Linked DNA regions of Macaca mulatta. The protein of the gene in region 3 interacts with the protein of the main gene of each other region in a pairwise test. Links are inferred from orthologs where the notes say so. Each region holds a gene or a part of one and is shown on either strand. Other genes may lie near its edges.

Evidence for each region.
Region 1: the proteins of EMD (region 3) and LUZP4 interact in binary tests that used the Homo sapiens proteins (3 or more experiments, as listed by UniProt). The two-hybrid records come from large-scale screens. The link is inferred for Macaca mulatta from reciprocal best matches to the Homo sapiens genes EMD and LUZP4.
Region 2: the proteins of EMD (region 3) and FATE1 interact in binary tests that used the Homo sapiens proteins (3 or more experiments, as listed by UniProt). The two-hybrid records come from large-scale screens. The link is inferred for Macaca mulatta from reciprocal best matches to the Homo sapiens genes EMD and FATE1.
Region 4: the proteins of EMD (region 3) and ABT1 interact in binary tests that used the Homo sapiens proteins (3 or more experiments, as listed by UniProt). The two-hybrid records come from large-scale screens. The link is inferred for Macaca mulatta from reciprocal best matches to the Homo sapiens genes EMD and ABT1.
Region 5: the proteins of EMD (region 3) and CREB3 interact in binary tests that used the Homo sapiens proteins (3 or more experiments, as listed by UniProt). The two-hybrid records come from large-scale screens. The link is inferred for Macaca mulatta from reciprocal best matches to the Homo sapiens genes EMD and CREB3.
Region 6: the proteins of EMD (region 3) and TRAF3IP3 interact in binary tests that used the Homo sapiens proteins (3 or more experiments, as listed by UniProt). The two-hybrid records come from large-scale screens. The link is inferred for Macaca mulatta from reciprocal best matches to the Homo sapiens genes EMD and TRAF3IP3.
Region 7: the proteins of EMD (region 3) and TRIM42 interact in binary tests that used the Homo sapiens proteins (3 or more experiments, as listed by UniProt). The two-hybrid records come from large-scale screens. The link is inferred for Macaca mulatta from reciprocal best matches to the Homo sapiens genes EMD and TRIM42.

Annotation. Positions count from the first base shown.
Region 1 is NC_133426.1:121,839,357-121,843,830, reverse strand, and holds the start of LUZP4 (leucine zipper protein 4), read right to left. Parts: upstream 2,918-4,474; 5' UTR 2,872-2,917; coding exon 2,781-2,871; intron 1-2,780. UniProt on the Homo sapiens protein: Export adapter involved in mRNA nuclear export in cancer cells. Binds and enhances the RNA-binding activity of the nuclear RNA export factor NXF1. Can restore mRNA export function in cells compromised by loss of mRNA export adapters.
Region 2 is NC_133426.1:157,951,396-157,955,882, reverse strand, and holds the start of FATE1 (fetal and adult testis-expressed transcript protein), read right to left. Parts: upstream 2,822-4,487; 5' UTR 2,734-2,821; coding exon 2,628-2,733; intron 1,586-2,627; coding exon 1,458-1,585; intron 1-1,457. UniProt on the Homo sapiens protein: Involved in the regulation of endoplasmic reticulum (ER)-mitochondria coupling. Negatively regulates the ER-mitochondria distance and Ca(2+) transfer from ER to mitochondria possibly implicating it in the regulation of apoptosis.
Region 3 is NC_133426.1:160,532,438-160,536,745, forward strand, and holds EMD (emerin), read right to left. Parts: upstream 2,881-4,308; 5' UTR 2,783-2,880; coding exon 2,701-2,782; intron 2,578-2,700; coding exon 2,473-2,577; intron 2,308-2,472; coding exon 2,230-2,307; intron 2,016-2,229; coding exon 1,882-2,015; intron 1,428-1,881; coding exon 1,378-1,427; intron 1,294-1,377; coding exon 966-1,293; 3' UTR 559-965; downstream 1-558. UniProt on the Homo sapiens protein: Stabilizes and promotes the formation of a nuclear actin cortical network. Stimulates actin polymerization in vitro by binding and stabilizing the pointed end of growing filaments. Inhibits beta-catenin activity by preventing its accumulation in the nucleus.
Region 4 is NC_133409.1:156,468,483-156,472,695, forward strand, and holds ABT1 (activator of basal transcription 1), read right to left. Parts: upstream 2,746-4,213; 5' UTR 2,739-2,745; coding exon 2,498-2,738; intron 1,815-2,497; coding exon 1,618-1,814; intron 1,465-1,617; coding exon 1,084-1,464; 3' UTR 572-1,083; downstream 1-571.
Region 5 is NC_133420.1:63,959,795-63,962,044, forward strand, and holds the end of CREB3 (cyclic AMP-responsive element-binding protein 3), read right to left. Parts: intron 2,211-2,250; coding exon 2,104-2,210; intron 2,014-2,103; coding exon 1,945-2,013; intron 1,296-1,944; coding exon 1,211-1,295; intron 1,114-1,210; coding exon 1,029-1,113; intron 948-1,028; coding exon 613-947; 3' UTR 591-612; downstream 1-590. Other genes in the region: GBA2 (non-lysosomal glucosylceramidase), read left to right, coding at 1-170. UniProt on the Homo sapiens protein: Endoplasmic reticulum (ER)-bound sequence-specific transcription factor that directly binds DNA and activates transcription. Plays a role in the unfolded protein response (UPR), promoting cell survival versus ER stress-induced apoptotic cell death.
Region 6 is NC_133406.1:67,527,514-67,531,216, reverse strand, and holds part of TRAF3IP3 (TRAF3-interacting JNK-activating modulator), read right to left. Parts: intron 3,385-3,703; coding exon 3,313-3,384; intron 991-3,312; coding exon 850-990; intron 742-849; coding exon 604-741; intron 1-603. UniProt on the Homo sapiens protein: Adapter protein that plays essential roles in both innate and adaptive immunity. Plays a crucial role in the regulation of thymocyte development.
Region 7 is NC_133407.1:43,688,615-43,692,317, forward strand, and holds part of TRIM42 (tripartite motif-containing protein 42), read left to right. Parts: intron 1-1,352; coding exon 1,353-2,050; intron 2,051-3,703.

The DNA.
Region 1 (4,474 bases), about 39 Mb from region 3:
AGAAATTCTATCCAGAGCAATTAGTCAAAAAGAACAAAAGACAAGCAGATTAGAAAAAAGTAAAACTATCTCTGTTCTCAGATATCATGATCTTGTATGTAGAAATTCCTAAAGATACACACACACACACACACACACACACACGGAGATTAGCACTAATGAACACGCTCAGCAAGGTTGCAGGATACAAGATCTATATGCAAAAATTAATTCTATTTATATATACCAGCAATTAACTATCCAAAAATGAAATTAAGAAAGCAATTCCACCAAGAAGAGCTTTCAATGGAGGAAAATTAGTCTTTTTAACAAGTAGTGCTGGAACAATTAGACATCAAAATGCAATATAATGAAGTTGGCTCTTAACTCACCCCATATACAAGAATGAACTCAAAATGGATCAAAGATGTAAATGTAAGAGTTAAAACTAGAAAACTCAGAAGGAAACAAGGGTATATCTTCATGATTTTCTAGAAATGACTCCAAAGCATGAACAACAACAAAAAAACAGATAAATTGTATTTTATCAGAATCTGAAACTTCAGGACTTCAAAGGACACTATAAAGAAAGTTTAGGCCGGGCGAGGTGGCTCACGCCTGTAATCCCAGCACTGTGTGAGGCCGAGGCAAGCGTATCACTTGAGGTCAGGAGTTCAAGACCAGCCTAACCTCTGCCTCCCACGATTACAGGCATGAGCCACAGCGCCCCTCTTCATTTCAGTACTTTTTTTTTTTTTTTTTTTTTTTTGAGATGGAGTCTCACTCTGGCACCCAGGCTGGAGTGCAGTGCCGCGATCTCAACTCACTGGAGCCTCCACCTCCCGGGTTCAAGCAATTCTCCTGCCTCAGCCTCCCACATAGCTGGGACTACAGGCACACAACACCATGCCCAGCTAATTTTTGTATTTTTAGTACAGATGGGGTTTCACCATGTTGGCCAGGCTGGTCTCGAACTCCTGGCCTCAAGTAAGCCGCCCACCTCAGCCTCCCAAACTGCTGGGATTACAGGAATGAGCCACCAAGCCCAGCCAAACTTCTTCATTTCTATGGTACACTCTCCCTCCACTTATCCTGCCCCTTTTAAAGTTCAGCCCTCCCTGCTCTGCTCCCCTATTCTCATCTCTAAGGTGAACCCTCTTTCCACTGTTCCATCCATTTCTAAGGTCCGCCCTCCTTGTTCCTGCTTCTCCTCGCTCCACCCCTGCACTTCCACATTGAAGCTCAGCTCCCACTGCTCTGCCTCTCCCTCTCTCATTTCTAAAGTGGCCCCTGGCCAGGCGCGGTGGCTCAGGCCCACAATCCCAGCATTTTGGGAGGCCGAGCCGGGAGGATTGTTTGAGGCCAGGAGTTCGAGACCAGCCTGGGCAACATAAGGAGACCCATTCTCTACAAAAATTTAAAAATTAGGTAGGTGTGGTGGCAAGCACCTGTGGTTCCAGTTCCTCTAGAGGCTGAGGTGGTAGGATCACTTGATTGAGCCTGAGAGCTTGAGGCCACAGTGAGCCTTGATCGTGCCACTATACTCCAGCCCAGACAACAGTCCCTGACCTTGTCTCAAAAACAACTAACCAGGCTGGGGGCGGTGGCTCACGCCTGTAATTGCAGGACTTTGGGAGGCCGAGGGGGGCAGATCACTTGAGACCAGGAGACCAGTCTGGGCAACATGGTGAAACCTCGTTCTACTAATACAAAAAAACAAAAACAAAAACAAAAAACAACCTAGACGGGTGTGGTGGCATGTGCCTGTAGTCCCAGCTACTCGGGCGGCTGAGGTGGGAGGATCGCTTGACGCCAGGGGGTGGAGGTTGCAGTGAGCCAAGATGATGCCACTGCACACCTGCTTGAGAAACAGAGCAAGCCCCTGTTTCACACACAGACACACAAACCTAAATAAATAAAGTAGGCCTTTTCTGTTTTGTCCTCCTTCCCCCATTTCTACAGTTTCCTTCTTCCGTGCTCTGATGCCCCTCTCCATTTCTAAAGTCAGCTTCCATCCTCTACTCAGCTCTGCTCACTCCCTATCTGGCTTGGAAAGTCTATTCCCTCCCCTCTTCCCCATTTCTAAGGTGGATAATAGCAGAGGAACTGGTCCGAGTAAAATTCACTTTTTCTGGGTTTGGTGCGAATGGAGGAGGTTAGGGGCATTGATAAAGGATTTATTTTTTCTAAGGTTCCACTCTCCGTGTAGAGGTCTCAAGTTAGAGACTAGAGAGTGCCTGCAAAGAAAGGCGATCCAGAGCGAATAACCACCAGCCAACAAGCAAATAAACGCACCAACCACCCCTTCCAACAAAGCAGATACACCAACCCACCAACAACTCTTGGCACTACCACGCTGGAATCCCTAGCAAAATAGCCTGAGGCTTGCTCCTCCGGGCCCTGGAATCTAGTGATTTATGACATCCGCTTGGACTGAGAAGAGCACTTGGCCCCATGTGTTTGAAGGAGGCCAGTAATTAGGTATCAATTCTTGGGAGAGTAAAATACACGGAAATGGTCTATTTTCTCCGCCTGCCCCTTTCAGCAATCCTTAATCCCCACGCACTTTTTGTCAGCCTCCCTCAGAGTTCCCCACCTGAAAGGAGAGGGCTGGAGGTGAGGAGAAGAAGAGGAGAGGAGGGATAGGGGCCGGGCAGGTGCGGAGATGCCCTGAGGGGGAAGCCTCTCCTTGAAGCGGTGTGCTCCTCCCGACGCCACTTCTAGTCAGCGGTATGCCGAGGTCTTGCGCTCAAGACCAGTGAGCCCAAACTAGTGGGGACTGGGATCCGAGATCTACATACCTAGAGACATATCTAGGAAGTTAACCTTTTTCCGACTGGGACGATTTGGCGACACTTTTTCAGGAAGTGTTAGCTTCTGAAACGAAGCCATCTCCTCTGTATCATGGCGTCACACTCCGAGCTCAGGCGCGTGTACCGCCCCCTCACCGCGCGGGAGGAGCATGGTGGGCTAACCTGATCCTCCAATCATAGCCTCTTCCTTTGCTGTTGCTAAGCCCCAAGGGGTGGAGCTTGGCGTATACCTCTCACCAAGTCTCCTATCAGGAGCTTGGCTCACTAGAAAAAAAAAAAAAAAAGGAAAGACCCGCTCATCTCCCACTGCATACCCCTTTCTAAAAATATTGTCTCCACCCAGAACACTACCTAGTTGGCTACAAGTTTCTAGTGTATGTGGTGTTCCGACCCTTGCCTTTCACAGTTCCTAGAACCCATTTCTCCTCTTTGCTGTTGGCATTCATGGGGAATAAAACCTTATATTCTTGACTTAATGGGCTGGTGCTCTGCTTCTCTCAAATTCCAAGAGCGAGCCCAAATTTACATCTAGGGAGGATTCACAGGCTTGCAATGCCACATGCTTTCTTTTCTTTCTTTTCTTTTCTTTCTTTCTTTCTCTGTTTCTTTCTTTCATCTTTCATTCTTTCTTTCCTCTTTTTTTTTTTTTTTTTTTTTTTTTTTTTTTTTTACTGAGACAATCTCTCTCTGTCGCCCAGGCTGGAGTGAAGTGGTGCCATCTCCATTCACCGCAACCTCTGCCTCTCAGATTCAAGTGATTCTCCCACCTCAGCCTCCCAAGTAGCTGAGATAACAGGAGTGTGCCACCACGCTTGGCTAATTTTTGTATTTTTAGTAGAGATGGAGTTTCACCATGTTGGCCAGGCTGGTCTCCTGGGCTCAAGTGATCCACCCGTCTCGGCTGCCCTCATACCACCGTGCCCACACTTTCCCTCCCTCCCTCCTTCCCTCTTTCTTCTTCCTACTTTCTTTCTTTCCATCCACCTCGGCCTCCCTCCCTCACCACACCTGGCTATTTCTTTTCCTTCCTTCCTTCCTTCCTTCCTTCCTTCCTTCCTTCCTTCCTTCCTTCCTTCCTTTCTTTTGTTTCTTTCCCTCTTTCTCTCCTTTCCTTCCTTCCTTCCTTCCTTCCTTCCTCCCTCCCTCCCTCCCTTCCTTCTTCCTAACTTCTTTTTTTCCACCCGCCTCGGCCTCCCTCCCTCACCGCACCCGGCTATTTCTTTTCCTTCCTTCCTCTTTCTTCCTTCCTTCCTTCCCTTTCTTCCTTCCTTCCTTCCTTCCTTGCTAGCTTCCTTCCTTTTTTCCTTCCTTCCTTCCTTTCTTTCTTTTTTCTTTCTTTCCTGGATCTGTTGCCCAGGTTGGCATGCCTTAACCTCCCAGGCTCCTCTCGGGCTGTAGAGATGGGGATCTCACCATGTTGGCCAAGCTGATCTTAAACTCCTGGCCTCAAGCAATCCTCCCACCTTGGCCTCCCAAAGTGTTGGGATTACAGGCATGACCCACCATACCCGACCTGCCACATGCTGTTCGATGGCCTTAAAGTTGTGTCCATGACATTTCTTAAGAAAAATGTAATTGTTCCTGTTATCACCTAATACTGCTCAATCAAACGCTGTTTTAAAATGTTAGAGAAATCTTGTCACTGGCTCTTCAGTAGAAATAAAGATCAAATTAATACATTT
Region 2 (4,487 bases), about 2.6 Mb from region 3:
TAACTTTCAAACTTTACTGTGGTAACAGTAAAACCACCATTTTCTAACGCTTTCCCTCATCCACCTGAATGTGGTGAACAACATTGGCTACGCAATTATGGGATTCATGATTCCCTAAAACGGTCAGGTCTACCTCCTCTGCAAAATGGCTCAGTATCCTTTGCAACAATGTGGCCAGCATTTTTCTAGAAGATTCAACACCCACAATGAATGTAGCTTAAAGAATTGGCTACAGAACTGTGGGACTCACATGATTTCCTGGAGCAGTCAGACCTCCCTCCCTCTCCAATCTTGTTGCCTTTTCCCAGCAGCCTTTGCAACAGCATAACAACAATTTTTGTAAAACTTTCCCTTACTCACAGTGAATTTAGCTAGCTAAAATGATTGGCTACAGAACTGTGGGACTCACTTAATTCTCTAGAATAGTCAGGCTTCCCTCCCCATCCAAAATGACTGTGTTTTCCCAATATCATTTGCAACAGTATAGCCACTATTTATTCTAAAACATTCCTTCACCCATATCGAATGTAGCTTAAAAGGACTGGCTACAAAATGGTCAGATTCACTTTCCTGGATTTCTTTTTTCTTTCTTTCTCTTTCTTTCTTTCTTTCTTTCTTTCTTTCTTTCTTTCTCTTTCTTTCTTTCTTTCTTTCTTTCTTTCTTTCTTTCTTTCTTTCTTTCTTTCTTTCCTTTCTTTTCCTTTTCCTTCCTTCTTCTCTCTCTCTCTCTCTCTCTCTCTCCCCCTCTCTCTCTCTGTCTCTCTCTCTCTCTCTCTCTCTCTCTCTCTCTCTCTCTTCCTTTCTTTCTCTTGCTCTGTTGCCCAGACTGGAGTACAGTTGCATGATCTCAGCTCACTGCAACCTCTGCTTGCTAGGTTCAAGCGATTCTCATGCCTCAGCCTCCTGAGTAGCTGTGATTACAGGCATGTGCCACCATGCCCAGCTAATTTTTGTATTTTTAGTAGAGACAAGGTTTCACCATGCTGGCCAGACTGTTCTCCAACTCCTGGCCTCAAGTGATCCGTCCACCTCTTCCTGCCAGAGTGCTCAGATTACAGGCATGAGCCACCATGCCAGACGACTTGACTGGATTTCTTAACAGCCAGAAAGCGTAGGAGCCTCACCTGAGTTATTGTGTGTATACACACACACGCACCACACACACAATTTTAAATACAGGAAGCGTTATTTCACACAATGGATTTACAGAGTGAAATATTTATGTACTCCCCATGCAATATTTGTTTCAGGCGTTCTGAACTCCCAAGGTTGCATCCCAAGCATAGGAAAGGATGACCCTGACCTTTCTGTCCTCATTTGCCAGCTTGGAATACAGGAGCTTCCTCCTCCTCACAAGTCAATGTCTAGCCCTGCCTGACCTGGTCAGGCTACAGCCCCTACAACCAGTACTCCCAACCCCAACCTGGCCAACATGTGCTGAGGACCCCATGCAGTACCATTTTCTTGGATCGGGTGGCAGTCATATTCCAAACTCGTTTCGCTGAAGCAGAGCCAGCAGCTTTTTGTTCCAACTTCTGCCTCTTCTGGGAGGCACCCAGGGACCGAGATCCATGCTCCATCATTTCTAGAGAGAAGAACAGAGACCCCAGGAGCACCCATAGAAGTTGTACCAGGGCTTCTTGGGCACAAAACACACCAAAAAGAAGACAGAGTCCCCAGCTTTCTTGGGAATCACTCAGCACCCATTAACCACTGTCCACCAGCTGATCCCAGGTCTCAGTTTGTTCATCTGTTCAAAAGTTAAACAAGAATCCTGAGGGCTCAGCTCGAGACTAGGTTACTCTCCAGTAATCTAGAGAGCAATGACCAAGAACAAGATTCCAGCTATCAAGGAACTGACCATCTGTTTTGTGTATAAGAGTGAATGACAGGTGTAAAACAGAAGGTCTATCCTTGCAAATGCAGACAGAGAGATGCAGGCTCCATAAATGATCAAAACAGGGTAACATAGTGGAAGGAAAGGGCTCCTTCTAGAAAAGTAGGAGACAACAATTGAGGCAGGGACCTGAAAAAAATAAAGGACCCAGCCCTGGGAAATTGAGGGAAAGAGCATTCCAGACAGAGGAAACAGCAAATGCAAGGTCTTTGGGGAAGAAGCAGGCTTGGAGCATTGTAAGAACAAACATAAATGCAATGTGATCTGGATCCCTTTGTGTGCTATAGAAATGGTATTTTCTGTCTATATCATAGTATGAAATGTTTTGAGGAGGCTGATACAATCTTATAGATCATGGAGTCTGGATTTTCCTCCAAATGGCAGGAAAATGAATTCGAGGGTTGGGAGAGAGAATTGATCTCTGGTCTCATAATTTGAGCCCTCTGAGTATTTTGCAACAGACACTGTGGTGGCTTGGACAAGGGGAAGACAGAGGGACCACACATGTTGTTCCCATCCTCCTCCCTCCCAGGGCAAAATGCTCACATCATCTATCCCTTTTCTCCTAGATCCCTTACCATCAACCCACAAATCCTCAAAGCCCGCCCAACACACAGATGTGCAAACACTTCCATGCACACATGCACCTTTCCCAACACACACATGCACAGGTACAGACATGTATCTACACAGTTGGCTGTAGCCTAGGGGTATTTTAGGGGATCCTCACCCGCTATCACCAGGTGCTCTTGGTTTTGCCCTTGGCGTCCATGATTCAGTTCTTCTGTCAGGGACATTTCCATCTCTGCCTTGGTGTTGGGAGGGCCTCCTGCCATCACAACCAGCTGTTCACTTGTAAGCTATGGCTAAGGATGTACAGGGTGCCAGGAACAGAGGAGTCACACTCAGAAAATCACCTCTTCCTGGAACAGGAGCTCAAGGAAGATATAGTCAGACCTGGGGGTGGAGCAAGACTCCCTCTCTAGGCTGAGGCCTTGGACTCAGCACTTTCTGTTTCTATTGTATCTTGTTGGCTAGGTCCGTGGCCTTCTCCTTGCTACTCTGTAAGCAACTTAGGAGAAGAGATACAATTCCATGCCTTTGACTGTGAGAACTGCTCTGGCTCATAAATCTCCATATTTAGCCCATGGGGGGAAGGGTGGGGTCTACCCTCCATCATTTCTATGAAGAAACAGGGATTGGCACAGGGTCCAAGAGCCAGGCAGTGGCTACAGCAGAGTTAGGTCCTAGCAATCCAGGCCATACCACACCTTCAGAAGGGATTCTCTGGAGAGCATATCCTACCTCCCCCATCCAGAGTCCCCAGACATGGGAGGTAGCCTTTTTCTGAAGTAGGTCAGACTAGGCAGGAGCCATGAGAACAAAGGGAGAGAAGGGTAAGAGAGGTGGGACCTGACTGCAGCCACTAGAACTCCCAGGGGCCTCAGGCCTTGCACCTTCTAAGTCCCAATTCTCCCTCAGTTTCCCTACTGATTAGACCACTGTGATGGTCAGGTTTATGTGTCACCTGGCCAGGTTCTAGTCCCCAGTGACTCCTTCAAACACTAGTCTAGGTGTTGCTGTGGAGGCATTTTGTAGCTGTGGTTGGCATCTACAACCAGTGGACTTGAAGTAAAGTAGAGACACATCCTCGATGATGTGGGTTGGTCTCACACAATCAACTGAGAGGCCTGAAGAGCAAAGACTGAGGTTTCCCAAAGTAGAGGTAATTCTACCCCAGGACTGCAGTGTCAACTCTTCTTTGAGTTGCCAGCCTGCCAGGCTGCCCTGCACATTTCAGACTTGTCAGCCCCACAATTGCATAAGTCAATTTATTAAAATAAATGTATATATACTTGTGCATATGCAGATACATACATACATACATACATACATATATACATCCTATCAGTTCTGTTTCTCTGGAAAACACTGATTGCTACACGACCTATGGTGAACCCTTCATTCTAGGAAACAACCCCAGAGCCCCTGGGGGAATAGGAGGCTATTTGTGAAAGGAATCAGGACAGGTTTATAAAACGTTCCTTTTAGAAATAGCCTCTTCTTCCCCCAGAGCCCTTGGGTCAGGTGGGATAAAGAGGAGGAAGGAAGGAGGAAAAGAGGAAGGGAGGAAGGAAGGAAGGAAGGAAGGAAGGAAGGAAGGAAGGAAGGAAGGAAGGAAGGAAGGAAAAGAGGAAGGGAGGAAGGAAGGAAGGAAAGAAGGAAGGAGGAAAAGAGGAAGGAAGGAAGGAAGGAAGGAAGGAAGGAAGGAAGGAAGGAAGGAAGGAAGGAGAGGGAGTGCAAAGGAAGGGGTCAGAACTAGCTGAGATAGGGCAGCATGGTCTGAGGCTGCCTGTCCCCTGCCCCCACCTCACCTGTCCAGCGCTGGGGCCGAGCTCTTGGGAAGCAGAGCTGATATAGGCCCTGCCTGCATTCCTGGGGGCCCCAAAGAAGCCCTTCCCAGATCTAGTGGAGCAGCTGCGATGAAATTTGAGCTTTCTGGAGGGCCACCTTGGGAGCAGAGAAACTACTGAGTGTGCTCAGCTTAGTGGGATTCAGGAGCCTGGGAAGCCCAGCCAAGGTTGCCAGA
Region 3 (4,308 bases):
TTTTTTGAGACGGAGTCTTGCTCTGTCACCCAGGCTGGAGTGCAGTGGTGCGATCTCGGCTCACTGCAAGCTCCGCCTCCCGGGTTCCCGCCATTCTCCTGCCTCAGCCTCCCGAGTAGCTGGGACTACAGGCGCCCACCACCTTGCCTGGCTACTTTTTTGTATTTTTAGTAGAGACGGGGTTTCACTGTGTTAGCCAGTATGGTCTCAATCTCCTGACCTCGTGATCCGCCCGCCTCGGCCTCCCAAAGTGCTGGGATTACAGGCTTGAGCCACCGCGCCCGGCTGCTTTGCCTGAATTTCTAAGTGGGTTCTCTGTATACGCCTTGTTGTACCACAATTATATGTATAAGCAGTTACAGGTGCTTTGGGGAATGAGTTAGGGAATAAAACTCCCAAACAAAACACAAACATCTCTGGGTAGCATTTGATTCCTATCCCCAGACCAAAGCAAAAATGCGGACCCAACAAAGCCAGATTGCAATCCTCGAGTCCCAAGACGCAGAGGCCCTTGCCATGGGAGCCCAACCCTCTCCTCCAGGAAGAGCCAACGCATTAAAAATAAATGGGGTTTTTATTGTGTGTCCACGAAAACAAAGGGTGGCCTTTGGTTAATCCCCCCCAACAAGATGACAAAAAGGAGGCATGCATGACAACAAGAACCATGTTCTCCTCTGACTGAGCGAGGCCTTGCCCTCCTGGACCCTAAGGGTTACAGGCAAGCAGGGCCAGGAGGCTGCCGAGGAAAGCACACTCAGGCCCCCATGGAGGGCCTGAATCTGCTGCCTCCCTGGTGGGACAAGGCAGGGGGAGCAAGCACTACTCTGGGCTAGGCCCAGCGCCCCCCAAGCAAGAACACATAAAAGCCCCTGCCCCTGCCCCTGCCCCCACCCCCACCCCCACCCCCACTGCTAAGGCAGTCAGCCAGGACTTCCCCAGAAGACCTGGCTCTGAAGCCCAGACCCTCATGGCTCCCTCTGGAAAGGGTTGCCTTCCTCAGCCTGCATGAAGTAGTAAATGAAAAAGAGGACGATCACAAAGACCAGGAAAAGCAGCAGCTGGCCCCAGAGTGGGACCTGGTGATCCTGGCCCAGCCCAGCCCCAGGAGCATGGTTTTCAGGCCGGATGGCACGGCGGGTGAGCCATGAAGAGGAAGATGATGAGGAGGACATAGAAGAGGTGGAGGAGGAAGTAGGATAATAGGACAGGTCCAGGGAGCTCCTGGAGGCTGAAACAGGGCGGTAGTGCGCGATGCTCTGGTAGGCACTGTCCCGGCCGTACATGGGGCGTTCCCTGAGGCAAAAGAGGGGAACAGGTGGGCCAGGAGCCTGGGTCCAGAACCAGCCCCTGTCCCTGGCCTTCCCCATACATACATACCTATCCTTGCACTCCTCTTCAGAAGACGACAAAAGGTCGTCATCACGTACCTGTAGAAGAGAGTCAAGGTGAGGGAACTGGCTGGCAGGGCCACAATGGCCCTGCCACGTCCCTCTCAAATTTCCCCAGCAGGTCCCCTCTGACCTTTGGTTAAAGGCCAGGGACCCACACCCTCCTGAATGACTCTGGGTGTTCGGCCTTTTATCCATGGGGCCTTGCTACTTGTGCTCATGCCCCAGCACCCCCCTTTGCCCCCAGGACTCTCAGGAAGAGCTGGAGCCTAGATCCCAGACCAGGGTGCAGGACGCATCCTATGTGCTCTAGTCACATAGTTCTGAGGGCTCCCCAAAGTAGGACCCTGACCAAACAGGTGTCTGCTGAGCCAAAGTCTCCCCAGAGGCCCAAGGGCCACCATTTGTACCCAGTGGCCCCCTGGATTTATCCAAACACAGCCGCGATCCCCTAGGTTGTACCCAAGTACAGTACGCCTGCCAACCAGCTCACCTGGTGGTGGAAAGTGTCAGCATCTGGGAGTGAAGTCACAGACTGGCGGAAGCCCCTGGACGGGCCCGCAGACTCGGGCTCCCCATAAGTCCTGGTAGTGAAGTAGCTCTCTTCATAGTAGTCGTCATTGTAGCCTTGGGAAGGGGGGCAGCGGTAGCAGAGGGGGCATCGGTGTGCCCCGCCTGGCCCGATGGCCCTAATCTGAATCCCATTTCGGGACCTGTGACAGTTTCTCCCTCCTAAGGCTGCTGGAGTGGTTGGGACTGAGGTCTCAGGTCCTCCCTGTGAGCGGGGTCCCTGACGCAGTCGGGTGAAGGTGCCAGCGTGCCCACCCAACCCCTGCCTTACCCTTGCTCTGGTAGAGTAAGGCGTCCTCTTTCTTGGGAAGATCATACATATCTGAATCCCCTGACGTCGAATTCAAGTCTGGATTGAAAGGAGGAGACAGAACTGTTTGCCCCCCCACCCCCACCCCCACCCCAAGACTTCCCTCCCCTTTCCCCAGTGCCGCTCTCGACCGGCACCCCTGCCACACCCTCGCTACCTCATCCTCCCCGCGTCCCAGGCCGTCCCCACAGGCGAGGCTCTCACCAGAGAAGCGATAAGAGGAGGCAGCGGACGAGCCGGGGGGCGAGAGCCGCCGCCTCTGGGTCTCATACTCGAAGATCTTCTGCTCGTAAAGCCTACGAGTTGATCCTGGCCGGACACGGGGCGGTCAGGGCCGCGGTCCGGGGAAGGGGCGCGGGGAGGGCAGCGGGGAGGTCGCGGGGCGGAGCACGAGGAGGGGGCCCGGAAGGGGTCCCGCCCGCCGCCGCGTACCTACTACAGGCCCGTGCGGGATGTTGTACCGGCGCAGCAAGGCGGTCAGCTCGGTATTTGAAAGATCTGCGTAGTCGTCCATGGCGGGTGCGGGCTCGGGCGGAGGCCTGGCGGCGGCCCGGGCCTACCAAAACCGGCCGAGCAACGGCTGCCTAGGAGCACGGCGGGGGCGGCACGAGTGCATCGGGAGCGGCCGCACTCGCGTCACAGCCGAATCGCTGTCGCGTCACGGCCGCTGGCTTCGCAGGCTGCGCGCGCTGCGCTGGGCGGGACCTAACGGCGGGAGTAGCCGGCACAGACCGGCCGGGCCTTGAGAGCTGGGAGGCTGGGGCCGCGAGCCCAAACGTCATCAACTCACGGATTGGCTAGCGGCAGAGGGGGCGGGCCCCCGGGAGTCAGGGTGGTGGGAACCGGTCTCGCGGTGGGAGCGGGCGGGGCCGCAAGCCCATATGTCACAAACACGGGAATTGGCTAGTGATGGAGGGGGCGGGGCCCGCGCAGGCGCGGAGCAAAAGGTCTTGCGTTGGGAGCGAGCGGAGCGGAGAGCCCTTACGTCACAAACATGGGGATTGGCTAGCGATGGAGGAGGCGGGGCCCGCGCGGGCGCGGGGCAGAAGGTCTCGCGGTGGGAGCAAGCCGCGCCGCGAGGGGCGCCACACGTCACTAACGCACGGATTGGCTAGCGGCGTAGGCGGCGGGGCCCGCGCGGGAGTCAGGGCAATGCAAACTGGTATCGCAGTGGGAGTAGGCGGGGCTGCGGGCCCAAAAGTCACAAACGCATAGATTGGCTAGCGGCAGGGGGCGGGGCCCGCGCGGGAGTCAGGGCGACACGGCTGGGAGCCAAGACGTCACCCTGTGGCGCGCTTGAGCCAGCCGGGTGAGAGGGATGGGGCCTGCGCGCTAGGGACCCGGGACGTGCGAGCGGGCGAAGTCGGCGCTTGGGGTGGCTCTGGTCCCTAAGTCACTTGGACTTCGCCCGGTCCCTGCACATCCCTGCTCCCCGCCGTCGCCCCCCTTTCCTGGGCCCCAGAGCCTAGGGTTTCCCGGCCGCATCCCGGTCGGCCGCCCCGGCAGCGGACCCTAAGAGAGCGCGGGCCCGGGGCCAGGCACTGCCGGGGGCGCTTTGTGTGCGCATTGCTCGGGAAGCGGCTGCGGGGCAAGGCCCGCGCCTATGGGATCTCCGCAGACCCCCTGCCACGGGCCCTTCTTCCCAGTCTGCAGGGCTCTCGCCCGCGCACATGTGCCTGCTGCTTCCCACCGCCTACCTCTCTGCTTCCCTTCCTCCTCCCTCACTCTACCCGGGAGGAAATGGGGCACTGGGCCAGGAGGCCGCTGGCACTCCAGAAGCAAGCAGCCTTCGAAGGGGCCCGGGCATGCCGACGGGCACGCCAGTGGGCGCGGGCAGAGGGCGCCGTGCGATGCGTACAGAGACAACGTGTGCCCGCCTAATCCTTCATGCCGTTCATTCACCCGGGGCACTGGGGGGAGCTGCAGCGGGGCGTCCTCTCCTGTCGGAATAGTCCCTGAGGGCAGCGTGTCTAGGCAGGGGGCAGACGTCGGTGATGAGCTATGGAAGGCTGCCAAGGCCTGCTCAGGAGCCTGAACTGT
Region 4 (4,213 bases), on a different chromosome or scaffold from region 3:
CCACTATATACAAGTGCACCTGAGGCGCACTGGTTCTCTACTAGGCTTTGCCCACCTTTACAATGGTTCCAACTCAACACTCCACCCAGGAAGCATTGTTTGCAATTGTGGGAGCACTCCAGACTCTTTCAAACTTCTTCTTTATTATTCTTACAGTTATTTTGTAGGAATGACCTGGAAAACTTGGTGAGGACTGACTCACCACTGAAGACTGTGATCATCAATCACGTCCCCCTTGAGAGGGGCTCTATGACATGCTGTGGCCCCCATTCCACCCCGTATATGCATCTACCACGATGCCTATCTTATACTAGTGGCCTGTAAAACTCTTAATACTAAGATGTGTTATTACCTATTGTCATTGTTTCCTCAAACAATGGCTTAGAAAATGCTGACTTAAGATAACTAATTGATAAACTGGGCTAAGATAATAGAAATTAAATAAAAAAAAAATCCAGGTTAAACAGTAAGGTGGGTGGCGGGGGCGGGGGGGCTCTAAGATCAGGAGATGAAGGTGAACACAAGGAGATGAAAGCTGGAACTTGTCCAATGACCCTCCCCAACAAAAATAAAAAGGCATAAAAAATATTTTTATTTTCTATAAATACATTAGGAAATGTATTTCTTCCCAACTCAGTCCACGCCATTAACTGTCAATTTTTTCTACATAAAAAAGATGCTAATACCACCCTCACCTGTGACTGCTAAACAGAGAAAGATTGCCGGGATTATTGCAGGCATTATCCCCCTAGTTGGAAATAAAGGCCCGTTCCTGGGGGCAGAACGTGGGATTTTTAGGGGACCCTATAGACGTAGGCAGCCAAGAGTCAAACAAAACAAGCATATGCAATAGTCATAATCATGCTAGTATGACAGTATGAACTAGGTGACTCAGCCAGGCATATACAGGAGTTCGGAGTGAGGATAGTGGAAGCCCTCAAAACTTGCACGTTTGGGCCCTTAGCAGAGACACCTGGTCTGAGAAACACAGTAAAATGTTTGCCTGGATAGTCACGATCATTCTAGTATGAGGTAGACAGGAAGCAGAGCAGGGCTAGGAGCTGGAAGGGGCCACCCTGGCCCTCAGGAGTCCCTGACAAGGGAAGGTCCCTCCATGCTCTCTGAGGGTGGTGGGGCTCCAAAGATCCTGGCCAGGAGCCCTTTGTTGGAGCGGGCCTTGTCCTGGGCAGTCGCCAGGCGAGCCCGTTCACGACCCCCTGGCCGTGCTGCTTTCCGGGCCCTCAGTTCCTGCTCAGTAGGACGTTGCGCAAATGTCCAGGAGCCATCTGGGCGAGCAGGGTCCCCATCGGCCGCAAGAAAGCGTTGTCCCCGTTCCACACTTTGAAGATAGAAGTCGGTCTCACGCTTGGCCTGAGCAACCTCCGCTCTCAGGCGCTGCCTGCGCACCTGGCGCTCAAAGGCAAGGTGCTCACTGAGGTGGGACCAGGTGAAACGGTGCAAGTACTGTGGGCAGAAAATAAGAAAAGATCAGGATAGTGCAGATTAGGGAGAAAGATGAGACAGGGGACAAGACCAATGAGAAGCCATGGGTATACCTGGGCCAGAGCTGGGGAGAAGGGAGGGTGAGAGGTGTGGCAGAAAGATCTATCTCCTCACCTTGAGGTTCCAAAGATCATAACGGAAGGGGCTGCGCCTGCGGGCACCCATAGGCGTGTTGTGTAGACTGGCCGCCACGCGCTTGGCTATGCGCTTGTCACGGAACTCCACCCATCCCTCGGTGTAGTCCTTGCTGTAGGACCGCTTTTTTCCTCCCGCAGCTGCTGCTGCTTTCTTCTTGCGTCTCACGAACCGATCTGAGCGCCAAAGACAAAAAGACCCGTCAGGGACTATGCAGCACTCACTCAAAACCACTTCCCATTGCCCGCATCGTTCTTCACATCTGCCAGCGGGAGTTCCACCTGAGAGTTTTTGCCCAGGAGGGAGGGAACTGTAAATTGCACCCTTTCCTCTAGCTAACTCAATTATTTCCTTAATTGTCCACTCCTTAATCTGGCCGGCTTTGAACGCTATTTAACACCCGCGCAAGTCCCCAACCTCAATGTAAAATTGACGGTGGAAAGAGGAAGGGCGGTTGATCAGTTTCTTGACCTAGGCCGCGATGCTAAAGGGGTATGTTCAGTTTTGTAGAAAAGCTAACGAGGCTTTTACTCTGTTGTACTCATGTAACAAACCAGTAAACAGATCCGGAAAGAGAGGTGAGCAGGGCCGGGATAAAAACACGAATAGTAACAATCCGAGAACTAAAGAACCACCAGACGCACTGCGCTACCCACTCTCCCCATATCCCCTCCGCCCACCCACCCCAGCATCCTCACAGACTGATTCACCAGCCAGGAGCCGAGCACCGCACTCCCCACCCCCAAAATCCAACAACTCGTGCCTCAGTCTTGCGCAGCGAAGCAACAGGACATCCATGCTTGCACCCCGCCAGCGAGCGACAACCTCCTCCTTTCACCGTCAGGGTCTGCATACTTACCCTCAGCCTGAAAGAAGACGCGTCCGACCTCGCCATAGGCGCTGAGAAGGTTACGGACGTGCAGAGGACGGAAGCGCGGCGGGATATGGCCCAGGTACACAATACCTGGCACTACCCGCTTATTGCGGCCACAGGCCGCTGCTTCGGATTCCTCCTGCTCCTCCTCCGCGTCTAGTGTCTGTTCTGTCCCTTTCAGCGGCTCGTGCTCCGTTGCGGCCTTCTCCGATTCCTCTGCCTCCATGTTGACTGACATGAGCGGCACGACGGCCGTAAAGTGCCTTGCCTACTGACGCAAAACGTGTGCGACGGCCTGAGACGAGGGGGCGGGGCCAAGGCGGTGATGACAAATGAAAGGATATGATTGGCGATGCAGTCGGGTCAAGGGGAAGGCCGAGGGGAGAGGGCGGAAGTGGGGTGTCAGGTGGAAAGCCAGATTTAGAGCGTGGAAGCGGGATAGGAAGCTTGTTTTAGGTTCACAGATTCCCTGTTACATCTCCAACTCAGGACAGGCAGAACCAGAAAAGGCAGATCCCCAGATACAACCTACCCTATAGAACGCCGCTAAAGGCGGGTTGATGCCGGGTTTTTAGGGAATTTTGTAGAGCAGTTTTAGGGAAGTTTCTGTGTGTTCTAGCGATCAAAATAGCATTTTATTCGAGGGCCCTGGTTGCGATTCCAGCTGAGGAATGACTCACCTTTTAAAGTTTATACATTTCATTTAAAAGATTTGAGTTTTGAAGTTTTAATTATTTCTGGAAATTTACCTTGGAATTTTGAATATTTTAAAATTTAATTTTGAAAACGGTTAATTTTGGAAATTAGATTTAATTTTTGAAAATTTAAATTGCGAACTTTCAGTTTAATATTTTACATTTGATTTTGTGAATGTCTGAAAATTTAAATGTGTGACAATTATTTGAATAATTTGTTTGGCATCTATTACACATGTGTATTGATACATTATCCATATGCATACTTACGTTGCAAATACTTGTCAGAGGCGCACACGCCTCCAATTCTGGCGACCCCCCCGGCGGTGCGCTTAGTTCTGCCCTCCCTGGGTCTGTCCTCACAGATTCCCCATCAGATCACAAACCAATTTTCCTTCTATGACCTACGTAACCACAGAACGGACAAGGCCCCGGCGGTCCTGCTCCTACCAGGCGACCTGCGAACCATCCCTAAGCCAAGCCCATAGCCGTTTTCCCCGCGCGGGCTCGAGTCCTCAATCTCTTACCGTCGCCCGAGGGCGCGACCAGCAGGGGGCGCCGTCCCCACCCTTAAGGCGTTTCAGTTCTTGCGATCCGCGCCAGCGACAAGCTGACTGCAAAGGATATTGCTGGGAACCGAGTACAAATAATCCGATTAGCTTTCTGGAAGCAGCCCGGGGCAAGTTTGAGGACCATCAGTATAAATCCGCCCTTGCTGCGGCCTGACAAAATTTCCCATCTCGCTCCAAGAGCGCAGAGTAGCCCAGAGAATGGAAGCAGGGAGTAAATGTGTCCACTATTAAAATCAGAGATGACAGTTTTTGCCAGTCCCCAAGTATATTTCTAAAGTAACAGGGCCCACACTCTTTCATGGAGTGTCTAAAAGTCTAATAATAGATTCTTCGAATTCAAATACTCCTGTTTCATTAACTTTATTGAAGAGAACTTTCTGTCAGGTGTACACTGCTCCTTTTTTGAAGAGGGGAGGGATATAAAAATCCCGTTC
Region 5 (2,250 bases), on a different chromosome or scaffold from region 3:
TCCGCTCACTGGCCTACATGCGGCCACTGAGCATCTGGGCCATGCAGCTAGCCCTGCAACAGCAGCAGCACAAAAAGGCCTCCAGGCCAAAAGTCGAACAGGGCACAGGACTAAGGACAGGGCCTATGTTTGGACCAAAGGAAGCCATGGCAAACGTGAGCCCAGAGTGAACCGTCTGAACTGTGGGAGGAAAGCACTAATAGCCCAGCCTCCAGCCTGGCCTTTCCTCCTTCCCCTCTGAACCTTCTGCAACCCTGAGCCATCAGGACAATCATACCCCTTCCCTTCTCCCCACCCAGTTGTGCCAGTAAATGGGGGTTGAGGGTGACCTAGGCAGCATTAGAATCACTTATTTATTTCTTTCCTCACCCGTTCCCTCACTGCATGAAATGTTCAGGGAGGTCAGTTGATTTCCCCAGGTACATTCATGGGGTGAGACACATGGGTACAAATAAAAGACCCAGAAAGCCAGTAAGTGTGGTGTGTTTGAGCCCTCAGTCCTCCTGATAGGGCATAGGAGCTGCAGCCAGCCCTCGCCCACCCCTTTTTATTTGGACACAGATGGGGAGCCCCACAAGCTCTTGCTGAGACCCCCCCCACATATCCTCATATCTAGCCTGAGTATCTGTCCTGCAAGATGACAGAGGGGCTACCGGTAGGAAGCCATCCCCCCTTCCTTGTGAGATTTGCCTGCAGGGGGAGGATGGGACCTCGGCAGAGAGGCTCTGAGAAGAGGTCAGGGAATGGCCACTCCAGGGGAGGCTCTGCACTGGGAGCCTGAGGCATGTAGTACAGTAGGCAGGAAGAGTTGCCAGGGGCCTGGAGTACGTGGTCTGAGCTGTCCAGCCACTGGTGTGTGCAGTCTTTTGGCACCTCTGACTGCAGGGCAGGCAACTCCAGCTGGTAAGGGTTCTCACTGGGGAGGGCACGAAGCTGGCGGGACAACACTGAGGAGACAAAGAATCTTCAGAGGCCAACCCAGGCCTCTCCCCTTGCCCATGTCTGAGAGCTATCCTTAAGCCTCTTACCTCCATGCTCAGCTGGCAGGCTCCCCCTTGTGTCAGAGGAGTACATAGCAGGTACAAGGAGGAGGCAGAAGGAGACTAGTAGGACCTACAGCAGAGGAAAAAGGAGATGAAGAAGGGCTCTGGATTGCACAACTGTCCCCAGCAACTGAGAAAAGAATTTCTCCCCTCATCACTATCCTCACCAAGATGCAGGTGCTGCTACTGCTCGTTTTGTTTGATATCTCAATCACCATGGCCTGGAGTTTCCTCAGTTGATGCAGAAGGGACCTAGAGGAAGAGAGGGGCCAATGGTGAGCATCCCCTGGCCTAGCACCCTGAGACACAGTGAAACTCCTGTTCAGGCCACCTCCTCCATCTCTGCACTGGATCCTCTCTCTTACTTTTCATTCTATTTTTGCAAACGACTTCTTCCACTCTGGAAAAAATGCCTGAAGTTCCTCATTAAAACAAACAAAAAAAGCAAAAACAAAACAAAACAAACTCTTCCAGGACTTAACCTCCTTTGCAAATATCATCAGTAGTTCCCCATTGTCTGATCAGCTATGCACATAATCCTCACCGGGCATTCTCTACGTTCTCTACCTTCTGTCCCAGCTCACATGTGTTCCAGCCCAAGAGGACTATGCTGGGCTAATCCTCTTGCCTAGGATGCTTTCTCTCTGCCTAGAATGCTTTCCCAACCCAACCCCAGAATCCTATGAAAGCCCATGAGGTCTTTCTTACCCCCTTTCTTTTTCTAGGTACTTAGCTTATTCTCAGTTACTTATAAATATATTCCCCACTACTGTGAGCTTCTTAGAATCAGAGACCTAGTGAAGGCAGCCACCCTGTTAGAAATCAAGTGTAGGGCAGGGGAAAGAGTGAGAAAACATTAAATGAGGAGCGTAGGAAGGGAATGGTTTGGAGGGATACTTACAAATTCTGTTCCTCCAGAAGCTGTACTTTGTTCTGAAGCTCCATATTCTGGGCTGTGTATTTCAAGACCCTGGGGGAAATAACAAAGATATGGGGATATGGCCTGTGTCCTCCCTTCAAAAACCTAACACTTAAAACTGAGTCCCTCTCCCTTTCATACCTGCTCTCTAAACCCCCAACATACACCTTCTTTTTCCTGCGGCTCTCTTGAGCAGATCTTTTATTTCGAATCTTCCTCCGCACACGTTTCAGAATTTGTTCCTCCATCTGAAAGGAAACAAGGAAAGGGGTATCATTAGAGGGACTC
Region 6 (3,703 bases), on a different chromosome or scaffold from region 3:
GCATTGTGCTAAGTACTTTACATGGATCATCTTACTTAATACTCAGAACAACCTTATGATGTAAGTACTATTATCCTCATTTTACAGATGGGGAAACCGAGTCTTAGGACAGATTGAAGATGATGGAACCCTTGAGGATGCCAGGAGTCTAATTGTAATTGCTAAATGTAATTGCTTAAAAAACACATTGGCAAAAAGTGTTAGTTAGTACTCACCTGTAAATAAATTAGTGACATTTTTTCTGTGCCAACAGTGGGCAATTCTGAACTGGATGCTTTTTTGGGATGGAGTTTGGAGAGTGGGTTGGGATATGACATTAGTAGGCTGATATATATTCCAGCCAGTTCTTTTCATTTGGATGGTGATGGTGTCATTCCAATGAACGCTTAGTTCATTTGCATGAGCAGTGCAGACATCCTTGCTAAACTCGAAATTAAATTTCAGAGCCAAAACAGTGAATTTGGTACAAAGTAGGTGGTGACTGAGGAACTGAAAGCCAGATGCTGTCAGCTGCCTTTGGAGTCCCTAATCCAGAAGAGCTTCTTCATCACCACCCCTCCTCCCCATACCCTGTCTTCCCTCCCCACCCCCAGTGCCTGGTACCTGCAGTTTGGACTGAAGCACGTTGAGTTGGCTCTCCAGCTCTCTGTGCTGGGACCCAAGGGTCCTCCAGTCCTCCTTCAGAGCCTCGTACTGGCTCCTCCACTCTTCACACTTCTGCTCTGCCAGGGCCAGGGATCGCTGAGGGGGGTCAGAGAGGAGAGGTTCCAGGGAGCTGTGCAGCTGGCTCCCTTGTTCCCCAAGCTGCCTGGAGTCCCCAACCCCAAGGTCTGTGTGGCATCCCCATACCTGTGTGCTCTGTAGTTGCTGCTCTGCGTTCATTTTCTCCTCCAGCACTTTCTGCAGTGACTCCTTGGCCTTCTGCTCATAGCTGTTTTTCTGGTCTTCCATCTCCAGTAGTACTTTTTTCATTCCCCAAGGGGAGTATTTCTGTAAATTTGATGCAATTCAACAAATACACATTGAACTTCTGTGTGCCAAATCCTGAACTGGGATACAGAAATGAAAAGAAGTTGGTTCTTCCCCCAGGCAGAGATACCAGTAATCTAGTGAGCCTTTTCTTTTAGGGTAGAGCTAGCAGGGAGAGTCCCTCAGGCAATGAGAGATGAGTGGGGGGGTATAATAAACAGTGCCCTAGGCTTGCTGGGCATTATATCTGAGGCCTTCCACAAGCTCTTGAAATCCAACATGTCTAAACAGGACTCATGTTTCTAAACAAGTTCTTTTTTCTTGGGGTTCCTATCTCAGTGACCAGAATCATCATCCATCTAGTCTTTTCCAAACCCTAAACCAGGGAGTCAATCTTCATTTTCTCTCTCATTTCCTTCCAGTAATCAGTTGGTCATTGAACCTTGACAGTTTCCTTCATAGTTCATATCTGTCTCCTCTCTATCCCTACTGCTGCTTCCTTAGTTCAGGCTCTAGTAGTAGTGTTATGTGGATTAATGCAACAGCTTCCCTTTCTTCAAATCTTGCCTCCCTTCAGTCCCTTTTCAGTCCCGCATTTAGAAGGTTCTTTCTAAAATGCAAATCTGATCTTGCCACTTCCTGCATAAATTCTCCATGGATTCTCAGCATCCTAAGAATCACATCCAAACTCCTTGTCATGGCTCCACTTACATGCCTAGACTTTCATCCCATGCTACTTCCACCTAAGCTGAGATGTTTGCAGATCCCCTAGCACTCTGTTTTTTTGGCTTCTGCCTTTACCCATATAGCTTCTTCTGCCTAGAACTGGTTAACTTCTACTCACACTCAAGATTCAGTCCAGTATCATCAGTTCTGATAAATTGACCAACTGCCCCCATCCCACAATGTCTTATAGATTAGGCAGCTTTTCTTAGTGTTCATAGTGTTCACATAGTGTACCCTGCATGCCTCTATTATTCTACTCTGTTGACTCATCTGTTTTTCCTACTGGATTGTAAACTCCTTCAGGGAGGGAGCATACTGCTGCTGCTTTAAAAAAAAATCACTGTAGCTTCTCTACAATGCCTAATGAACTTAATGGTTTAAAATTAATACATTCGCGTTATAAAATTCCTCCTGGCTGCAGGATTAAGGAGACACAAGTGCAGCTTTGCACATTCACTGGGGGTCTTGCCTTCTCCCTTTCTTTCATCTTTGTGTCCTGTGATTTCGGAGAAGGCAGGCAGATTTTACTGTCAATTCTGGATTACCCACTGTGTAAGCAGTAGACCAGATGACAAAAATTTAGGGATCAATATGAAATCATTTCCATTTAGCTTTGGAATTGTCTGAAATTTTGGATTTAAATTTGAGTGGGTCTTATAGTTTTGGAACTTTCATTAAAAACTAGATTCAGGAATTAACCTGGTTGAGGTCATATGTAGGGGATGTCCCAGTTATTGGACATCCAATGACCATCCATGCTGGGCACTGGTTATGTGTTATTCCTTATTGAAAATGAATAGATTGGCGTTCTGGATTATATATTGGTCTCTTGTGAACTTGGTTGGCATTATTTAGTCCTGTCAAAGCAAGTCATACTGAATAAATGAAAGTTGTGGACCAAGAAACTTATAGACTCCATAAACTCTCTTCCCCTGTGAGACGCCATCTATGTGGCCAACTGTCTTCTCTCTCTAACTCCAGATGGGAGAAGTCTGCCTGTTCCGCCCCATTCTCTTATTTGACATCTTCCCACCTGTCAGGTATCCATCACTTCTCAAATGTGAAAGCTGATTTCTTTCTATCTCTTGTAAACCAAGATTAGGCCAATCAGGAGATTACTAATGCTGGAAAATGGTGTTACAGAAGAGCCAAGTAAAAGAGCTTTTACATTCTTCTAGGGGTTGCTAGAAAAAACAAAAAAAGTTGCCCATGGAATGAAAATCATTTTCTAAGACTTCGTTATAACATCTAACTCATCTGTTCAAAGATTAGGATGTGTAAAGATCTGTCTGGGTGTTGTGAATCTTTACCAAGGGCCTTTCCCTACAGTTTCAGGTATTCTCAAGGTTCCCCTGGAGCTGACAAAGTGGTTAGTGCTGGGATTCCTCCAGGGTGCAAAGAGAAGGATACTGGGAGAAAGGGAGAGGAAGAAGGATGGAGACAGTGATCTAGTGAATTAGAGACTAAAGTGAAAATGGCCAAGCCAGAACTGGGTAAGTAGGAATGGGTGTGTTATTCTCTATCTGGTGGCATTTCTCAAAAGTAAGATTGAGGTTCAAGCATTCTTCACATTTAATTCTAGATTCCCGAGACGGAAATATCCTTCAGAATGCTTACCTGGGTACAGGTGTACAGCTGGTTTTCTAAGGATCTCAGTTTCCCCTTCAGTTTGTCTTCATTAAGTTGTCCCTGGAGCAAATGGGATGAGTTAATGAGTGTGGGCCAAAATCTAGTCTGCAAAGAGTTTGACTCTATATTCCTATCCTACTGCCCAGCACATGGTTGATGCTCAAACAGTGAACTCTTTCAGGAGGCAGGCAGGAGCAAATATGACAAAGGATGCTGAATAGAAGAGGATCTTCTCTTCTTTCTCTAGACTAGGACAAGAAAGAATCAGACTGGCCTCAAGTCCTCTTTTTACCTCCATTTTTATCAAATGGCTCAGGGTAGCATAGCAGGGGAGCCCTGGAAGGAAAGCTTCTAAGCTACCCTTTCGCTCACTACCTCT
Region 7 (3,703 bases), on a different chromosome or scaffold from region 3:
ATAGTTCTTACGATTAAATGTATGAAATCAGCCTCAGGCATTAGACAAATGGAGAGCTTTAACACACACAAATGAAACAGTAGAAGCACATACTTTTCACAGACTTGGCCACTATTTTCCTTTACTGTGATTTCTCTCTACTGCAGACATTAGCTGGCTAGTAGCAAAGGGATGTAATTACAGTGGCCACATTTACTGAATGCTTACTATGTACCAGCAGTTAAGCACTTACATGGATTATCTCATTTAGACTTTATAAAAACCTCACAAAGCAAGTAGTATGGTGAGGTTTGATTTATAGTTAAGAAAACTGAACATGAGAGAGGTTTAAAAAAACATCTCAGAAGGTACAACTGTAAAGTGGTGCATTTTTATCACACACGCTCTGCCTCTAAAGCCCAGATCCATTACCATTACCTATTGGTCTGGTTGGCAGACCACACAGGTTCTAGGCTTGGCTCAGGTACAGACTTGCTCTGTGTTCCATCTATGTACAATAAATAATGTCAATGTCCTCCAGGGGAAAAAAAAAAGCCCTAAGAACACACCTGTAGTTGGACAAGATTGTATTTATTGACTCATTGCAACAAGTGAGAATATAAAGCATGGGAAAGTGTAAAGTACCTTGAAAAGTTATTACAGGATTTGAGCTCATGTTAGGTGAGGACACGGGAGTAAATCTATTGAATATTTTAATAAATCTTATCTAGAAGGTGGGAAGAACAGAATGACCCAAAAGCTGCTGGAAAAAAAAGAAAAAAGAAAAAAACAAAACAAAACAGTTTTTTGGTTTAAAAAAATCAACCAGGATAGGGGGATGTTGGGTCATTTTCGTGATTTAGACAACGTTCTTGTCTGAGTCCAAACATTATAAAGTGGCCTTGTTTCTGCTTTGATCCAAAGTCACAGAGTAGCCTTGTCTGATACTGTGTTCTTTGATATTACCGATGTCCAACGGAACACCAAGGCCTAGCTGACAACGCCTGACCAGTCTCTGCGGCTTTTCCCTTGCTTAATAACAGCAAGCAGTTGCAGCACACTGACTGTGTACCATGGACTGCTCTTAGTCCGTACGAGCATTAAACTCAATTTTAATCTTCTCAAGAAACTCTGACATGGGTACTAATTTTATAACAAGGAAATAGGCCGAGAGGTTAACTGGCTTACCTGAGGTCACCCCGCTGAAAAATGGTGGAGACAGGTTGAGAACGCAGGCACCTTGGCACTCAGCTGAGGCTCCTCACCACCACCCTAGACTGCCCCTCAGAAACCAAGAGTTCTTTCAGAGGTAGAGAGGCAGAGCAAGCTCTTGAGCCTGCCTCCTGAAACCCTGCCTTTGCTTCTCCTTTCAGCTCCAAGACTGCCCTGCGCATTGGGAGCAGCGATACCCAGCTGGATGAAGTGAAATCAGTACCAGCCAAAAGCCACCTGGTGAACCACCTCAATTGCCCCATGTGCAGCCGGCTGCGCCTGCACTCATTCATGCTGCCCTGCAACCACAGCCTGTGTGAGAAGTGCCTGCGGCAGCTGCAGAAGCACGCCGAGGTCACCGAGAATTTCTTCATCCTCATCTGCCCAGTGTGCGACCGCTCGCACTGCATGCCCTACAGCCACAAGATGCAGCTGCCGGAGAACTACCTGCGCGGGCGCCTCACCAAGCGCTACATGCAGCAGCACGGCTACCTCAAGTGGCGCTTTGACCGTTCCTCCGGGCCCATCCTCTGCCAGGTCTGCCGCAATAGGCGCATAGCGTACAAGCGCTGCATCACCTGCCGCCTCAACCTGTGCAACGACTGCCTCAAGGCCTTCCACTCGGATGTGGCCATGCAAGACCACATCTTTGTGGACACCAGCGCCGAGGAACAGGACGAGAAGATCTGCATCCACCATCCATCCAGCCGCATCATCGAGTACTGCCGCAATGACAACGAATTGCTCTGCACCTTCTGCAAGTTCTCTTTCCACAATGGCCACGACACCATCAGCCTCATCGACGCCTGCTCCGAGAGGGCCGCCTCACTCTTCAGCGCCATCGCCAAGTTCAAAGCAGGTCCTCCCCTTCTCCACTCCTTCAGCCTAACTTCTAGTTCAGGAACACATGGGGAAGATGGCGTGGGGCAATGTGCTAAGTGAGTGCCTTAACAGATTCCACCTAGTGGAGCAATCAAGGCACCAGGAAACACTGTGCTATCCTGCAAGTCACTATCCTGGTGTCCGCTCCTGGTAACCACTACCAGTCACTTAACTTCTCCGTGCCTTGCTTTTCTCACCTATGAAATAGGGGAATAGTAGTGACCCCCTCACTGGATTGCCATGAGGATTAAGTGAGTTACTCTATGTAAAGAATGCAAAAAGTCATATGACAAGTGCATAAAGATTCTATAATCTTGATTATAATCTGCATGTCCTCAGGTCTCATTTTCTCTTTTGGAAAATGAAGACTTTGATCCTATAGTATACTGACGTTCTGTGATGTTCTAAGGTGTTCTGTCACTGTTGGATCGCTTTGGTTTTCCTAAATGTGCAGGGGGAAAGAATTAAGTCAGTGCTGAGAATTATCTCAATGTTAAATTTCCCTCCATGAATTTTTTCCAAAACTTGCAGATGCCAAAGTAAATAAACTGGCAGCAAACATATAACAACAGGGACAATTCATAACTAGCCAACGGTATTCTAGTCAACAGCTTGTTTTTCCTCTGCATTCTTGTTCGTGGTGATTTGGTTGTTTTATATTGTTACATATAATATTGCTTTAAGTGAAATAATATTTCAGTGATGGTTTCAGTGATGGAACCAAGCATAATAATATTTCACAGGATTCAGCAAAGAGCCCATAATTTCTTGTTTCAGTGACAAAACCAAGTATAATCATATTTCACAGGATTCAACAAAGAGCCGCATAATTTCTGGGTATGTCTCTACCTGGTCAGACATTAGAATCCAAAAGATTCCTTTAGTGCCCTTTACCCTCAGGAATAGTTCCTTGTATAAAGGCCAACTTTACTCAGGCCTGTGGAGCACATTTTGTCTAATCTCAATAGTGCTACAGTACAGGCATTAAAATGTCCTCCATGGATAAGCCAACTGTGGTTCAAAAAAATAATTAGGACAGGCAGCTAATAAGTGGCAGATGCAGTCTATTTGACTCCAGTGTCCACCATTAATTCCACAACATTTATTTGACAATCTACTCTGTGCTAAGCAGTGACCAGAATCTGAAGATGAAGAGATTGAAGGGGAGGAAGGGGGAACCACCACCACCATCCATGGTCTGTTTCATTAAGGAGTGGCCTGCAGTCAGTTACCAAAGTGCACCAGATCAACCCAGGCCTTTCCCATTGTCAGATCTGTTAGTCTCCAACATTCAGATAGGCCTATACATTGGGAGGGAGGCAGCTTTTCCTTGAGCTGCACAGAAAGGTCCCACTGGATATAAAGGTGGATCCAAAACAGACTTTGCTAATGACCACATCACCCCTGACTTCTCAGCAGCTTCAGGAATACCTCGAGTTTTCTCAGTTGCCACATACCTGGAAACATTGCTTGTCAATTGACATTTATTTAATTCTGGAACCACCACCAGGGAATACTTCATATTAAAGGAACCCTGCAGGAGCCACATGTTATCAAGAAAATGGTAGAACTGTTGGTTCCAAAAGGGTTTTCTGAAGGTGGGACTCACTGCTTCCCTAGGCCAGGGCTT